Caenorhabditis elegans: one gene and its partners. The protein of the gene in region 1 interacts with the protein of each later gene in a pairwise test. Each region holds a gene or a part of one and is shown in the gene's direction. Other genes may lie near its edges.

Region 1 (3,821 bases):
GTTATTTTTACTGTAAGGGAGATTCTAAAGTACTGCCAAGAAGTTGCGAATTTCACTATTCGTTTTTTTTTGAATTTATCAGGGTACTGTATAAAACTGTCAGAAGCTTTTAGACGATAAATTTTGGTAAGAAGTTGCAAAAGTAGTTGCAACCAAATATTGAGATAAACCCGAGTCGGCATCACTTTTGTAAGTTTATGACATTACTCATCCACATTCTTTCTGATAGTAACTGGGAAACTTTTAAGAAATTATTTACAGGATATTTTCTACTTATTTGAAATGAAAATTCGTGACTTTTGCGCTAACCAGACCTGGTCTGGGAGAACCGATTTTTCTAAAACCATCCTATCTGAATTATGACAAATATAATTGCTCTACCAGAACCCCAGTTTATACTTTATTCAAACTTAATTTATACTTATCAATTGGCATTTTCGCCGATTCAATTTCAAACAAGTTTGGCTAAAAGAGAGCAAGATGACAGAAGTATGTGAGTTTGATGTGGGCAGAGGAACAGGTGATTTTTTGAAAAAAGAGGAAAGATGGAAATAGAAAATGCCGTACGAAAAAAGTTAATTCACATTCTTCGTTTTTCGGAAATCCAAAACCTGAATTACATTCACACGGAGGCTCGTTTCTTTCGGTGTCTTCTGCTTCTGACAACACAGAGTCTCCTTGACAACGATTCGTGGCTCAAATGGAGTGAGAATTCGAAGAAAAGGTAGTAGAAGGGAATAGAAAGAGGAAAGGGATTCAGAAAAAATTGTTCGAAGAATTGTTCTGTCTTAAATTAACGGGGGAAAACAGGATCTGTTTACACGCTACAATGAGAAGTTTTGTAGAATTATGTACATTCTGAAAGCAATAGAAATACAATTTTGAAATCAAGTGCTCGTGAAAAAGGAATATTCCAGATTAAATACAAATACAAAAATAAAAATCTAAAGTATTCAAGTCAGGGAATTTTCGTACAAAACATGACAGTCCAATTTTTTCCTGGGAAGGAATAACAACATTTAAAGAGCGAATTGAAAATGAGAAAAATAATTGAAATTTTTTAGAAAAAGACTTTAAAAAAAGTGTGGTGCGTCAGAAAATCTTCAGATCAATTTCCCAAAAACCGAACTTAGGTACAAGAAAAAGCTAGAAAAAAAGGGTTAAAATTCAGCTATGTGCAATTTTTTTTTGAATTTTGGCAACTTTCAAAATTATCATACATTTTTTAAAAAGGAGTCAAATTTATATTTTGTGAAAAATTCGATTTTTTGCCGAATAAAAATTCTGAATGATTTTTTTTCCATGACACATCTAGTTTCAAACAATGTTAGCTTGTCTGATCTTCTTTTTTGAAATGAGACATATTTTTACGCATGTTAACCTCGAAATTATTAAAACTTTAAAAAAAGGAGCGGAAATGATTTTTCAAACTCCGCACAAGGTAAGATATAAGGCACAAACCAGTCGGAACTACAAAATTAACAAATTTTATATGGAAGAAAATTTTAACTTTTTGTTTTTATTTTTAACGTTTGACAGATAATATTTGCGAAAATCTGGTTAGAACAGAATTTTGGTAGCAGCTGACATTTTCTTAGATTATATTTCACTAATTTTAAATATATATTTGCAATTATTTACTGATTGTGAGAACTTTCAAGTTGATTTAGAACAAGTAAAAAAAATTAAGAACTTCTAGACTGTAGGCATGCAAGTTTTTTAACGTCATTCTTACTCATCTCAGTTTGGAAACCCCTTCTCTGATCATACTAAATAATTTATTTGAGATTGTTAGCAACAAAAAAGTCCCTAAAGTGATGACTATTGTGATTCATAATTATATAAATGTTCAATATATCACGCGTTACCCTATGATCTCATGAAAATGATCAGAGGGTAAATATGATTTATTCAAAAACAATGAAATATAATGTTAATTGGAGAGGTAAAGTTTGAGCCGGGAAGGTATAAATATAAAGTTGAGAGTAATCATTTTCTGATGAAAGATTTTTACTATCAGTTTGGACCATAACTTTCTACGGATTCCAGAACAATGCGACGAATCACTTGCTGCTTTCCGGTAATTAATCGTTTTGTGGAAAAATAATTATTGAACATTAGGATTATTATTCAAAAATACTGCCCCTTTGCTTGACAATTTTTGAAACAATTTTCAAGTATAAAACATATAAAACATCCTAAAGAGCTTATGAAACATATTTAATAATACTACAGATAAAAATTCACCGAAGACAACCACCTAGTCCACCATCAACTATCACATTGAGCAGTTATGAGTACAGTTCACTCGCTGTCGGAATCATTTCCGATTTGAAAGAAGAGGGTTGTGATACATTACTTGTCAAGCTTCAGAAGGTTTTCATCAACACTTCCATTATACTTTCATAGATTTTTCTCAGGATGCCAATCGGAAAATCGGAATGGGAGTCGGGGTAAGAGATCGTGGAATCCTCATAACCACTGTAGTACCTGGATCGGTTGCCGCTGAGAAATTGAAAGTTGGAGATCGTATTTTGGCGGTCAATGGACGTCCAATTTTGGATCAGGTAAGAATGATACAACAAATAGGAGACACAATAAAATTATCCAAAAACTGACTGAAATTGAAAAAATTTTCTAAGGGGGAAATTTGTGCAAGATGCGAGCAAGACTAACTAGTTTATATTTATAACAAACATTTAGATATCCGATATCTATATTTGTCACTTACTTCAGCGCTCGGTGGTGAAATCGGTCAAAGCATCTGGTCAACGACTGTATCTTCAAATCGCCCGTCCTCACAAGGTACATAAATAATGGTCCCTATATTTTAATTATTGCGCTACGAACAGTTTCTTTTTATCTTCTAATTATTTGAAATCGTATATTTCTTCCCAAAAATTATTTTCCAAAAGGCTAATTTCAGCAAAAAGCCTCAACCAACCTCATCAACTTTTTTTGGCATTACCAAAGTTTCTAAAATTTGTTGAAGTTTGCTGCAAGAAATTGATAAGATACAATAATTATTTCCCCAACGAACCCTTTATCTGTACCAAAATTCAAATCTCGCATTGTAACGGAATGCACTTACTTACTGTTGTAGATTTTATCCGTCAAAAAATCTATTTTGCTAGCAATTTCACCTCCTCACACACGCTATAACATTTTTTTTCCTGACTAACCTCAACAGTTTTATTGTAACGATCTTAAAAAATTATTGAACTTCCTGGTGGGAGGTTACTCGACTAATTGGAATATTTATGAAATATTAAAAAAAAACAATAAACACAAGAAAAACAGTTTATTATATACTATTCATGCGTGGGAAATTATCCAAAAATAAAACAATGAAAGATCCAAAATAAGGACTAAAAGATAGAACACTAAACTTAAGGAAATAATATCACCGCATACTTTGCAAATGGGTGTAAAACGACTAGATATTCAGCATGTTTGGAACGAATTGAATAGTTTTCAAAAAAAAAAACGGTAAAACTTCAAAAAGAAAAACATTTCAAAAAAGTACCCTGCAGAGTTTGACAGAAGAGGCGAGACATAATTGACTGCCTACAAAATGCATAAAATTGCTCGCCTATATTTCAAAAAAAAAAATTCAAAAAAAATTAAGAAAAAAATATGGAAACCTGAGTTGTGTTGAAAGTTGGGGGAGAGGATTCGAATCAAGAAAAAAACAAGGAAATAATTTTAAGGGGGAAGCGGTACGAATAACATTGAGCACTTTTGAAGGTAGGAATGCTAGAATATTATTAGAAGTTCGTCAGAAAATGAACGACGAATATGAAGGGAAAGAGTGTAAAACC
Region 2 (2,828 bases), on another chromosome or scaffold:
GACGCCACAGCACCGAAAAATTGGCATAATTGGAAATTTTAGCGAAAACCAAGCGATTTTCTCCGAATTTTTGTTATAATATCCGCTACTTTCGAGCCATTTTGAGTATAATAACCGTACTTTTGCCACCATTTCAGCAGCATTTCCCTTCGGACATCTAATAATCGGAACAATTCCCATAGTGGCACAAACTGCAAAAAGTCCGTCGGCAATGGAATCAAGCATCGCATTCACGGCGACATCGGATGTTCCGGGTGAATTCATTGCGTGATATGAGAATGTACTATTTTCACTGTAACGACGGAGCACAAAGAGATCATCTTCCAGGGAAATGAAGTTGAGATATTGATCCACTACCTGGAAATTTTGAAAATGTCGGAAAATCTAATTTTTTTTTGAAATAAAAAGTTATTTTTGCTGAAAAACTAGTGCAAAATTCAATTTTATAAGTGTTTTTACGACAAACTTTGTTAGAATCAAGAAAAAAGGTTGATAATTTTCAAAATTCTGTACTTTTTGCAAGAAAAAATCCGAAAAAAAACCACAATTTTGAGATTTATAATGGTTTTTGCAGCACAAGTTATGAAGAATGTAGAAGGTTTTCGACTAGTTAATGCTGAATTAAATATATTTTTTAATTCTTTATCGCACTTTTTGAACTTGTGAAACTGCTCCCCCGTGTACTGCAGCTGAAGCGAGCGATTCGAGACGAGGACGAGCCAACGGGGAGATGAAATTGCAATAGAACGAGTCGTACATGGCTTTTTTGAGATCTTCACTCATCAAATCAATATTCTCATCGTTTGGCGACACGAAGTACACAGCTGGAACGTCGGTTAGCGGCTCACGGCGGGCTCCGATCAATCTGCAATATGAAAAATTGAATTTCTGCGCAGTTTTTTAGCTAAAATCGCACAAATGAAGGGTAACTCCGAGTTCTCTGAGCTGTTTGACTGGGAGAAGCGGCGAAATTATATCCTGTCCGGTTCTGTCGAGCACCAATACTTTCCATACCTAAATTCACACAATAAATTTGATTTTTCAGGTATTTTAAATCGGCCTACCGGTTCTCTGACTCCAGAATTGACTACGGGCTCATTCAAATTGATCATCGTCCGTAAAGCGACTGAAAATATGGAGATTTATTTATATTTTATTCATATCAAGCATGAATTCTCACCTATTTGTCGCGTTCGAACGCTTTCCAGCTCCGCCGGCATAATTTTGTTCGTTAAAATATTTTTTAAAACCCTGGAAAATTATCTGATAAAATCTGTGTAGATTTACGGCCACGTAGAATAGAAGACGAGAAGCGTGTCAAACGGTGTACACTGGCGCATTTTGCGTGCAATGCATTTTTTTAAAAGAAAAGCGGAATTTTAAAACAGAATTGTGTGAAAAATTTAATTTTCAGAGAAAGATTTTAGAGAAAAAAAAATGCAAAATTCTGATAAAAAATAAATAATTTTTATTAAAATACGCAATTTCTCGTAAAATATAATGTTTGACCTACATTTTGATCTCTCACTGATCATCGAAACAACAACAAAAATGTAAACAAGTAAACAACAACAAACAACAAACAAAAATTGGGTATAAAAGGCGCGGATTTTGCCATTTTCCTCAGACGTTCATCGTTTTTCACCTCATTCTTAACCCTATTCACTCAACTATGTCTTCTCTCTGCCCATACACTGGCCGTCCAACCGGACTCTTCCGCGACTTCGAGGACATGATGCCATACTGGGCTCAGCGTCACAGCATGCTCAACAACTTCAACAACATCGTGCCACAACAGCTCAACGAGGTCGAGAACACCGCCCAGAAGTTCTGTGTCAAGCTCGACGTCGCCGCGTTCAAGCCGGAAGAGTTGAAGGTCAATCTTGAGGGACACGTTCTCACCATTGAGGGACACCACGAGGTCAAGACCGAGCACGGGTTCAGCAAGAGGTTGGTTTTATTTTATTTTTCATTTATTGGAATTAAAATTAATTAAAAATTTTCAGATCGTTCACTCGCCAGTTCACTCTTCCAAAGGACGTCGACTTGGCTCACATCCACACCGTCATCAACAAGGAAGGACAGATGACCATCGATGCTCCAAAGACCGGCTCCAACACCACCGTTCGTGCTCTTCCAATCCACACTTCTGCTGGACACGCTGTCACCCAGAAGCCATCCAGCACCACCACCACCGGAAAGCACTAAATTGCCCCCAACTTTCTAGATTACATACTGCCAGGACAAAAATAAAGCTGTAAAATGAGAAAAAAAGTGTTTTTCTTTTGTTTTGGGTACAGGGGGGAGTCTTCGGTTTCGAAAGTTCTTCCATCTTTCTGGAAATGCCTAGAAACTGTCGTTCTGTGAAGCGTTTTTTCTTCTTCGATTAAGATGAGTCCCCTTGAAAGTTCCGCTCGTCGAAAGTTTCAGCAACCTTCGTCCGTTGAAGATACCTGCTCTGTTAACTAATTTCGAAGTGATACATTTCAAATTCATTATCAACTTAAAAAACAGCTTAAAAACAAAACAATTAGCAAAAATCCGAGTTCATCCACCATGAAGCGTCGAGACAAAAGTAATCGTATCCCCTGCCTCAATAACCGTATCGTATTCTAACAGCAATCCGGTATCCGTGTCATTGATAAGGGTAATCACTCCGTGAGCAACTTCGCTGGCGTCATCGTTGAGCAACATATTTATCCGGTGAACATCCGTGACGAGGTTGTCCCGGACAAATTTCAGCACGTCTCGGAGTGTAGAGTCTGAAATAAAAATCGTCAAAATTCGTTTTTAAAATTCAAAAATCAAGTACCTGCCGGAATCTGAAC
Region 3 (7,985 bases), on another chromosome or scaffold:
AGTGGTAACGAAGGTTTTAAAATTATATTTATGTACTCAAATCACAAATGACTCATTAAACGGTCGGAGTTAAGTTGTTATTTGATTTTCACTCTTTTTTGCATATTTTAATTATTTCTTTTGATTTTTCTATTAACTAGGTACATCTTCGGTAGATGGGTGCACAAATTTTTTAACTTTAATTTTTTCATTTCATGAAATTTTAATTTTCCGATAATTTTCCCATCTCCTCTTTTCACGACTAATCAATTTTTCAGATAGTGAAGGGCTATTATTATTCAACAGATACGTTTTTTAACGTTTTAATATTTTATCGGTTCTAGAAATTTTGATCCTTTTCATTTGATTCTTTTGATTACTTTGTTTCAAGAGTTCCAAATACATTGAACATACAAATGTCATTTTCTAACCTTTCTAATTTTCTGCAAGACTTCAATTTTTTCAAGTTCGGGACTTGAATAATACAGATATAGCATTTTGTTTTAAATTGTAGATTTAAATATATAATATCAAACAAATTTTTTAAAAAACCATATTAATTTTGAAAAAATGACAACTTCTAATCGAATTATTTTTTTAATTTATACTTTTGCTTAATTTCGTAAAATTTTTATTTTCATTCGAAAATTAAATGCCAGAACTCATTATTTGAATCATATTTTCCAATTTTCACAAATCTACAATAAGATGTCATCTCTGTAGGATAAGCCCTCTCAAATGCCATTGTAAATGACATCTAAACCAAATGCTAAATAGAAGCTCTTGACTTGGAATCTTAATAACTAAAATATTATGATTTCTACCATAAAATGCTACTCATCATTGCCTTCCCAGTCTTTTCATGCTCCTCCCAATTTCTCCGATTGGTTTCCCCATTTCCCGTCAACGCCCGGAGACTCCGCCCATTCACACGTTGTTCGCATCGACCAGTCGGCCGCCGGGGGGCCCCACCAATATTTCATCAGGCGCCCTCAACATATTTCAATTCTCCGATTGATTTCTCTTCTTTATATTCGAATATATATCTTAATTAATGCGTCAATGCCCCGTTTATTGGTTTTTAGTTACGGGACTCATTGGATACTTTATAATATTAGGTTCCAAAGAGAAACTGGAAGAGAGAGAGAAGGGCTTAATGTAATGGCATTAAAGATTGATAATGTGACAAATGATAAATTGATACGGTAATATGTAATGGACATTAGTCACTAAAAGATATTTATAGACCAAACCTCATGATTATCAAATAATGAGGAGTACTGTAGGGGTTTTGGAATGCTTATTTGGTTTAATGGAAGTCATTATTACCATTTTTATTGATAAACTTCTAGAGTGAAGGTAAAACAAAATAAATTTCATTAGACAATTTATTTCACTTTAAATATGCTCGATATTTCTTATCAAATGTCTAGCTTTAGAAATAAACATTTTATTTACTTGTAATTGTTTTTATTTTTAGTATTACTGACTTTGTCGAATATGTTGCTTTTAGAAAAAAACGTAATGTTAAAACATTCTGTATAGAAAATATTTCATAATATCAGAAATAGTTTAAATTGCAACTTTTGGTATTAAATAGTTATAGAATAAACGCTTTTAAATTGATCATTTGATAACTTTAAAACAATATTAATCAGTTGTTCACCATATATTATTTTTAACAGTTTTAAAAACTTGCCTTCTACAGCTTAATGTGTCATAATTAATTTTCATATTATTGTGCTTATTGATTTGAAAAATTATCTTATTTAGTGTTCACTGAGATGGGCTTTATACTTATGACGTTGAAACAAACCTGATATATTATTTCCTCAATTATTCAAGTTGTATTCTATATGGCACCATTTTTTCCTCCATCTTGCTCTCATTGCTCTTTCCATGCTCCTTCCGTGCTCCCTACTTTTTCTCTATCTTCCCATATTCTCACCCCTCAATTACCATTTCAATTTCAGAAATCCGCACCTTTTTGCCGTCTTCCATCACGCATCTACTCATCCCCTCAACTCAATCCGTCGGCAAATGAGCATGTATCCTGGATGGACAGGCGACGATTCGTACTGGGCGGGCGCCGGCACAACGGCTTCTTCTCAATCCGCATCATCCGGCACATCTGCTTCAGCATCGTCTAGTGCTGCCGCTGCTGCTGCTGCCAATAATTTGAAAGTGTGTGTTTCAGAGTTTAAATGAAAAATTTTAGGTTTTAGTTGAAATAAGTTCAAATATTTTGGGTCGAAAATTAATTACGGAAAATATGGGGAAAACCCTACAAAAATGAATTTCAATTTTTAAAATACTCTATAGTTTTCAAATTTTCCAGATTAAAAAATTAATAAAAAATTCATTTAAAAATATCAAGAAATATTCACCCTTGTTTTGAAAAACTTTGAAAGTATTTCGCAACGTCCCATTACTAAACTTCAAACTATTTTCAGACCTACGAACTCTACAATCACACCTACATGAACAATATGAAACATATGCTTGCTGCCGGTTGGATGGATAATTCATCAAATCCGTAAGTTTCTTGAAATAAAATTTTTGGAGCGAGAAAAAAATGTTGCGAAATAAAACAAAGTTTGCTGTAAAATTTTAAGATTTTTGCTAAGCGTTCCAGGTTTCACAACTTCCTTTTTAACATTGATTCAAAGAAAAATCAACAAGAAAATTTAAATTTCAGTTTTTGAAAGAAGTTCTCAGTCCGGTTTCCAAAAAATCAATAGTTTCATTGCAACAAAAACATTGAGTTCGTTTTTTTAAAATATGTCTTTCGGAAATGTTTAAAAGATTTCGGATTTCTTTAAAAAAATATGTTCACTCCAATTTTATTTACAAGCACTCTCTAATGCATTTGAATTTCAACATGAATATTTTATCTTTAATATTTTTCCATAATAAAAAAAAAGCAATTTTCGATCATCAAGCCTATAGCCATTTTCAAATGAAAACTCAATTGTTGTAAATTTCTCACAGGTTTTTCATTATCTTATTTTAATTAATGATTGAAGTTTTGAATAAGGGAACTTTGGCAGGATGCGTGCAGAAGAGCAACAAGGCAGGCAAAGGTCGCCTTGAAGACAGGAACAAAAACATATTAAAATGATGAATAAGAGTATTTGGAAATTCGAAATATTTTTTTTCCATATTCAAATAAGCGAATTAACTTACCACAAAATTTAGGATCCAACTTAAAATATTTTCAGATTCGCCTATAACCCACTTCAAGCAACATCTGCAAATTTTGGTGAAACTAGAACTTCAATGCCAGCAATCTCGCAACCAGTATTTCCATGGATGAAGATGGGCGGTTAGTTTACAGTTTCTCATTTTCACTTTTAAACTCGTATTTCCATTTTCACTATTTGATCTCATAAAAATGTCAAAACAAGACAAACATATGGGTCATTCTTCTACATTTTAATGTAATTTCGGATTGGTTGTTACTCGGTAATGACCGCCAAATAGGTGTGAAGATAGACATGCGCGCAAGAGGGGAGGTCCTAGAGAGAGGGGCACACTTTTTCGATTCTTATCTTCAGACTTTCATGGCGGTATAATATTAAAGAGAAAAAGAAGGAGAAAAACAAAAAATATGGCGACAAGTCGGTGTCTCTTTTGGATCCTTTTTCTCTAAATCGCGGCGGGAAAAGGACGGAATTTTTTGATTTATTTATGATACACGCTGGGTGGTTAACGGGGAAATGGTCATGAATAGGATAAAGTTTTATATTTTAATGGGTTTACAGTCAACACTGTTTGCCTAATGTTGCTAGTTATAAGTCTCAAGTTTTGGTAGTTTTTAGTTTTGAAAGTTCAAAGTTTCAGAAAAAAAAATCTACCGGCCTTTTAATATAAGTTTTGATTAACTTTTGGGTTATGAATTTTTCGAACAACTGCATGCAATATTCTATTTCCAATATTCCAAAACTCAGTCAAAATTTGAAACTTCAAAAACACTGCAGAAAACAATATCGATTTGAACTGTACAAAAATTTTAATGTCATTACCGGATTAGTGCATCTCATAAATGGTTGTTCAACTTTTTCCAGAACTTACTGACATGCCGTCCATTTTGATTTTACGTCTTAAATTTTATACTTTTTTTTAATTTTTGAAATATACAAAATACAATCTTTGGTGTCACAGTATAAATTCAATGCTCTTGTAATTATTTCCAAATTGATAATAGTTTGAAAAAATGTGTTTGATTTCATTCAGTTACTTTTAATTTCGATAATTTTTTCACAGTCAGTTCAAAACACGAGAGACAGGCTTCTCTGTTACATTTCTCTTTCTCTTCCTTCGGAGTTTTTTTCGTTCTCTTTCATTTTTTGACCGAAACCAGAGAAAAGCATGAGAAAAGAAGACGGAGAAAATGGAAGATACACGTAAATACGAGAGAATCTTTGTCTTGTTTCACTTTCTCTCTCTTTTACTCTCTCTGTCTTTCCCGAATCATTTATTTTCCTTGGTGCTTTGAAGTTTGCCGCCGTGCCAGAAAACCCACGAATTCGAGCCCTAAGCACAAGAGAAAGTGGGGGTCCGTATCGAAGTTGTAAATTGTCAATTGATTTATTCATTTTTGACCTCCTCCACAATCCGAACACAAGAACAAGTTGTACTAGGAACAACAACACCAACTTGTCAAAATGTTTGCGGTTCGTGTGCAGAGAGAGATGACCTGAGCATCGGATGTTTTATGACTTGATGCTGCAACAGCTGCTTCACAGGATGCTCCACGCAAAAGAGCAGAAACACGGGCGGTTTGTCATCACGTTCTTCTAATCCGATGATTTACGGTGGATATTCATTTGATATATAGCAGAGGGAAGAAGAAACGAAATTGACTGACAAGTTCAGACGACACCGGATTAGGAGGATCATACGGTGTAAAGTTGAGGCATCGTGTCTAAATTCCCTTCTGTCGTCTTATCAAAATATTATACGATAGACTGATAGAAATATGTTGCTTGGAATTTTCGCTTGTAAATTTTTAAAATGGAATTTTTCCCGTAATATTCAAAGTCAAAAAATATACATACCTGCACATCGCCTATTTTCTTCACTCATGAGCACCCCAAACGTTTAAGATAAGATAATAACGTTTTGACATGCTTTTTACAGTCGTACTCTTTGTTAAACCCATGCACCGTATTTTTCCTATTAGTCTGATACAATTTCTCAGAAAATTTCTTGTCTCTTTGTGTCAACTTTTCAATAGATTGTAAACAATCGATGATCATCTAGCTAAATTGTTGAAAAGATATATTGCGAACTTACAAAAAACTGATTTTCCGATTCAAATTTCATCTAAAATTCAGTATTTTATTGCACTAATCAAAATACATTGATTCTTAAACTGGAAACTTTGTCAAAAATTGACCATGAAGCTTCACCACATCACAAATTGCATGTAATTTTTCAAGATTATCAATATGTTACCATTTTCTTTTCAATGTCTTTTTCTTCTTCCGTTAGTCATTAATTTGCAATTAGTTTCTTTCGTTCATTCAGTTTTCCCCATTAACTTTTTTTGATTGATGCCCAGATTGGAGAAGTACAGTAATCCTCCCGTTTTTTCTCTCTGTGCCTCAAAACTTTCTAATCGAAACTGAAATCTAACAGAAAATAGAAGATTTCCCAAAAAATGAGAACAGGTTGAATCGAACAAGCGTTGTACTTCTGGGTGGTATTGTTTGTTGTTGAAGTTCAAATTATTATGAAAGGGAGTTTGAGCACGGATCTACCGTAATACAGTAGTTTTGATATGTCTTGTGTGTTTAGGGTTTTCCGGATAAAGAGGACAGATGGTTGAATTTCAATGAGGTATAGATGAACCAGGGTAGAAAAGAGTGAGTGTGTTGCAAAGAGAAAAATTGGAAATTGAAAAGTGAGAGAGAGTGTGAGCAGACATAGAGAGCGGACTACGGTAGTTTGAAAATACTAACCTATTGATTATTATGGTTTTGAAACATTTTTCTAATATTAGAGTAATTACAACTTGGTCAGCCGTTATTTTATCCATATCTTTTATCCAATAAAAACAAGAATTTATCCAAGAAAATATACCTAAATATAAAAACTCATTGCACTTTTTTTAAGAGCAATTGCATTTTTGTGTAGGTGTATATATGTTTCCGGTAGCTGGTTTAAAAATGTTAACTTCGAACCTTTGTTGTTTCTGCAAACTATATCTCGCGGGCCCCAATTAATGTTATTCCTTTTTATTCTCGTAACATTGTCGCAACTTTATACCTAAAAACCTTCCTTCACTGTATGCCGATAATTCTTATTATCTTAGTGTCTACTGTTTAAAATTAAAAATTCAAGGATCGTAATGGAAAAGTGGGAGAGAAAAAATGTCTAACTATATATAATATAAAACTGATTACTTGATAGTCCTTGAAAAATTTATATTCCATATTATACACAGTAATAGCTATTACCTTCAGCGAGTTTGTGATAATTTTCATTCTCCCTGTTGAAACATTTTATTAGAACATAAAGTTCCGCGAATTAAGCTTTCTCGATCATTACGCCATCGTTGTTAATTTATTAATTGTTTGGATATCATTTGGAAAGTGTGATGATCGAGAAATAGACCGCCCGGAACAGCAACTGTTATGAAGTCGGTGCGACGATAAGACAAAGAGAATTCGCGGCAATAATGAAATACGACATGGCTGGGGAACAACAACTGACCACGACCAATCAAATTGCGTCAGGGGTGGGATAGGATTACTGTATTTGATGGGGAAGGTTTATTTCTTAATTATTATTATTTGTTGACAGCTTTCGTTCTTAGGTGTTAATGGATTTGTAACCATGTAATCTTGAGACAGTTAGCATTTTTCAATTTATAATATTTCAGGTGCAAAAGGTGGAGAATCAAAACGCACTCGTCAGACATATTCAAGAAGTCAAACATTGGAATTAGAAAAGGAATTTCATTATCACAAATACTTGACTAGGAAACGTCGGCAAGAAATTTCAGAAACATTGCATTTGACTGAAAGACAAGTAAGTCTCACTACCAGATTTCACAGAAGTTATTTTAGGAAAATAATTTTGTATATTTTCTTGGCAATTACTCAATTTTCATAATTTTGGAAGAAAACCAAAAAATGTATTCGATTAAAAAAAATCTATTTGTATTTAAGCATTGTTGGGCATCACTTTCAAACAATTTTCTAACTTCTCGAAAAATCAATATTGTCACAAATTTGGCAATTTACCAAAACCAAAGACTAAACATTTTGGAAAAAATCAACACCAATTTAAAGTTACTCATTTTAAATTTCAGTATTTTGAACTAATGTTTTGTATAATTTGGAAAACCCACGCAACTCTAAATTTTAGTTTATATGGCAATAAACAAAATAACAACAGTTGTACCAAAATTTCTTGGTCAGACTTCTGAACACATTTTAGAACAATTATAGTATTTTTTTATTTTTCATACACTCAAAATATTGACAAAAAGTTTGTTCACTTCTAGTCTTTTCCAAAAGAAAATTCCAAAATTTTTTTGAGGTGGCTCGAATTTTTTCAAGCCTAAATTATCATAAGAACGTGTAATAACTACCGACAGATTTAATGCATAATGAATGATGATTTATTTTAAACAAGAATAGGGAATTATTCTTCAATTTTTTAAAATAATTTTTCTATTAAAAAGTTTTAATGGTTTTTTCGAAAATTCTTATTGCAAACACAATTTTAAAACCAAAAATTGTAGTTTCTTACTGATAATCTAGATAACAAAAAAGCAAAGTAGAATAATCACGTGGAGTCAAAAAGTCCCATTTTGCTTTGATCTTCGAAAAAATGCGGGAGAAGTGACGCAGACATCTGATCTGATTTCGCATGGTTAAGACTGTGCTGACGTCACAATTTTTCTGGGAAAATATTCCCGCATTTTTCGTAGATCAAACCGCAATGAGACAGCCTGACACCACGTGAATAATCTGTTTTGTTTTAATAAATAA
Region 4 (3,319 bases), 3.9 Mb from region 1:
TCCACTAAAATCACACAGATTTTCGTAAGAATAATGAGCGCGTTTTCAATGATGAGCTATATACCGACAAAACAGCATGCCAATTGTGATGAAATAGAAGCTTCAATACAACGACTACTTCTTCTACGGTAGTGAAATCCGCTAACTAATTGGGAATAATTGCTGTATTGCATATGCATAAGTTTTTGTATTAACACCACGAGTATGAGGGAGGAGTGATGATGAAGTAATTCTTCTGGAACTATGTTACATTGGAGCTCACCACAGGACACCTTTTTGCGGTGACTCAAGAAACAATAGAGCAAGTCATGAGGTGTCAAATGTTCAAAGTACCCATAGAGCCAGTTATAATTAAGTGTGACATGTAAACGGAAGGAACTTTTCTTAATATTCTTTGTCTTGTATTTGATGACGTGGCAACAATATTTTGCACAGCAGGTCTTACTCCTCTTGTTGCTAATAAGTTTGTGTGAGTATGTCTACTCAACATAATAAGTTAAAAGCCTTCTAGCGCTTCTGCCGTCTATAATGCAATAATAGTCTTCGTTACTCGATGCTCAATTTCTTCGTTTAGTCAGGTCAGCCAGTCGTCTTTCCCTATTTTCTCTCCAAGCTTTAAAACGTTTGAAGGGGTACAGTGATATGCACAAAAAATGCACAAGTTGTTGGGGAAGTGGTGAACATCTGTGGAAAGGTTCAAATTGCTCAGTTGCACAATGACTATTACTAGACGCGTGTCGCTCTCAACACGTTCACACTTGTTATTGTTATTGTACTGGCTCAATCGCATTGTATTGTAACATAAACACGTAATTAGAGGGAGATGATGAGCATGAGAGGTCGAATTGTGCCAAAAGTGGAAAACGGCTGTAAGTAGGCTTTTCATGTAGGCACAAACACTGCCTGTGGCCTTTGTCTACCACAAAAGTACTGAAAGGTGCGTAGTAGGCATGCCTGAATAAGTACAAAATTTTAAGAATAAGTACAAGACTTACATCGTTAGTGAATTTGAAGAGTTTGCAAAATCAAAATTATTTTGTCAATCAAGTTAATACTTCTAGAGTATTTGGCCAAGAATCTTTTGTAGACCATTTGAAAATTTTCAGAAATTGAGTTGATTGCTAAGCTTTTCCAATTTCTTGATGAGATATTTGAGGTTTGAAAACATTATGTAAATTACGTTTTGTTTTTATTGGAATTTTAATTTCACCTATATGCTAGATATACTATTCCAGATCATCAAAACTGGCAAGAAAAGAAGACTCCAGACCATATACAAAAAATGAACACGTCATCATAATACACGACTGATCGAAAATGACACAACTGATTAGTTTCAATATTTTATTCTAGTACTGAACATTACGAGACAATCAATTTCCATATTTTGCTCATCGTCACTTAAGTGGTTGTTTATTCTTTCATCAACCGCCTACAATATTGCCTACGGCAATACTGTCATTCACAATCATTATCCCTCTCATCAACTCTTTTTTCTTCTTCTCCTTGTCGTCTTTCACGGGACCTTCATCTCTATTCGCCGACTCCGCCCCCTTCCGATGCCGTCTGAAGCTCCACCCATTGTGCTCCTATGGGAGCACCATATTACCGTGTTAGCTCATTTACACGAGAATCTTACCTCCCGTAAAATAATCTTCAAACTTATTTGAAAATGATAACTCCTGTATCAAGTTTTTCAATTGATGATCTTCTTCGTGGGCATTCAAACGAAATTCAAAGAATTCTGAAGCTTGATCAAACATCGCCCACTCCCCAATCAAGTTCAGATGAGGTATGTTCTTAAACTATTTTTCTCGTTTGGGTTTTGTAGTCACCATAGGCACTCTGCAAATATTTAAACAAACATATCAGGAATGTATTTCGCTCAATTATCAAAATTGAATTTAAATATAATTTTTCCGTTTTTTTTGGCCTTTGGTCAATGATTTCTTTAAAATTGATTCAAAATAAGTCGCAACTTCATTAAAAAATATTTTGTTTCCTTGATGTGATGCTTGTTCTTTCACAATTACTTAAATTCAACAAGTAATATTTCAATAAAATATGTAAATTTGATCATCAAAAATTACTCTATCGGTTTACTTCCAGGGATCAGAAAAATCATCGATATCCGTAATGTCAGTTCCATTGACAAATGAATTAACTCCCACAATCACTCCTGCTCTTTCTGATCAGCTTTGGCTTGCAGCAGCAGCGTTTCCAATAGAACATAGTCTCTTGTTGGCTCAACGAAATGGAGTTTTTCCTGGATTCTGGTCAACAGCTGATCAGATTCGATTGTCAAATGCAACTAAAGCGTATAGAAGATTGAGGTTGGAATGGTAATGATTGAAATTTATCAAATATAATTATTCTTCTGTTTTCAGTTCGCGAAGAAAAGCAAGAACAGTGTTCAGTGATCAGCAACTACAAGGATTGGAACGAAGATTTGAATCCCAAAGGTGACCAAAAATGCATTCCGAGTTTAGTATTCTAAATCAGACTTTCAGATATCTGAGTACTCCTGAGAGAATTGAATTGGCAAATGCTCTCAATTTGAGTGAAACTCAAGTTAAAACATGGTTTCAAAACCGACGAATGAAGCACAAGAAAGTTGTCAGAAAAGATGATAATAGTGTGGATGACGACAATGGAAATGATAATGAGAGCGAATAAGTATATATATATTTACCGGTAGATTGTCTTTTCTCTATGAATATTTATTTAAAGAATATTGATGTATTATATTATTGCATGTCCAAATAAAGTCAAATTTCTAACAGATATTTTATTACCAACTTATATTTATGATTATGAGGAATAAGTCATGGGGTATTACTTTAATTATATTTATCTCACATCTTATAATTCAATTTTGAACTTTTTGATTTGCCAATTGCCCATCAGTCCTCAAAAAAACGAAACTTTGAAAAATGGTTGTTAAATTATTTTATTCCAAATCATAATACAATAGGACACTTATTCATCGAAGAAGTTGAATGTACATTTTCCGATTTCCCACATATTAGTTGGAACTGCAGCATTGTAGTCATTCCACAACAAAGTACGCTGAAGATTTTTAAGTTAAGCTTGAATAAAACAAAACGTTTGTTACCGTATCCATTTCAATATCACAACCAGGTGCCTTGATAACATGAATATTGAATGATGTGCTCTCTGTAACTGGAAGCTTGAATTGATCCTGATAGATTGGATTTCCTTGCATTTCTCCGAACACCATGTCAACCTAAAAACTATGAAATTGAAGATTTATATTTGATTTTAAAAAAACTAACGTAGTTTTCGTTACTTGGTTCTC

The links.
Region 2: the proteins of C52A11.3 (region 1) and sip-1 interact in a two-hybrid assay, tested with the Caenorhabditis elegans proteins (one large-scale study listed by BioGRID).
Region 3: the proteins of C52A11.3 (region 1) and mab-5 interact in a two-hybrid assay, tested with the Caenorhabditis elegans proteins (one large-scale study listed by BioGRID).
Region 4: the proteins of C52A11.3 (region 1) and tab-1 interact in a two-hybrid assay, tested with the Caenorhabditis elegans proteins (one large-scale study listed by BioGRID).

The regions. Positions count from the first base shown.
Region 1 is NC_003280.10:10,735,349-10,739,169, forward strand, and holds C52A11.3 (PDZ domain-containing protein C52A11.3), read left to right. Parts: upstream 1-2,010; 5' UTR 2,011-2,053; coding exon 2,054-2,080; intron 2,081-2,235; coding exon 2,236-2,376; intron 2,377-2,420; coding exon 2,421-2,567; intron 2,568-2,736; coding exon 2,737-2,817; 3' UTR 2,818-3,280; downstream 3,281-3,821.
Region 2 is NC_003281.10:10,505,552-10,508,379, reverse strand, and holds sip-1 (Stress-induced protein 1), read left to right. Parts: upstream 1-1,578; 5' UTR 1,579-1,672; coding exon 1,673-1,950; intron 1,951-2,006; coding exon 2,007-2,208; 3' UTR 2,209-2,274; downstream 2,275-2,828. Other genes in the region: sly-1 (Sec1 family domain-containing protein 1), read right to left, coding at 121-357, 652-865, 917-1,014, 1,065-1,126, 1,181-1,220; urm-1 (Ubiquitin-related modifier 1 homolog), read right to left, coding at 2,548-2,762, 2,813-2,828.
Region 3 is NC_003281.10:7,777,423-7,785,407, reverse strand, and holds the start of mab-5 (Homeobox protein mab-5), read left to right. Parts: upstream 1-1,953; 5' UTR 1,954-2,019; coding exon 2,020-2,163; intron 2,164-2,432; coding exon 2,433-2,515; intron 2,516-3,200; coding exon 3,201-3,304; intron 3,305-6,868; coding exon 6,869-7,017; intron 7,018-7,985. UniProt on the Caenorhabditis elegans protein: Transcription factor that binds to the promoter region of the transcription factor lin-39 to repress its expression in Q neuroblasts and thereby direct left Q neuroblast (QL) daughter cell migration.
Region 4 is NC_003280.10:6,802,086-6,805,404, forward strand, and holds tab-1 (Homeobox domain-containing protein), read left to right. Parts: upstream 1-1,615; 5' UTR 1,616-1,672; coding exon 1,673-1,792; intron 1,793-2,109; coding exon 2,110-2,342; intron 2,343-2,387; coding exon 2,388-2,462; intron 2,463-2,510; coding exon 2,511-2,676; 3' UTR 2,677-2,778; downstream 2,779-3,319. Other genes in the region: F31E8.5 (DUF4091 domain-containing protein), read right to left, coding at 2,980-3,069, 3,116-3,247, 3,297-3,319.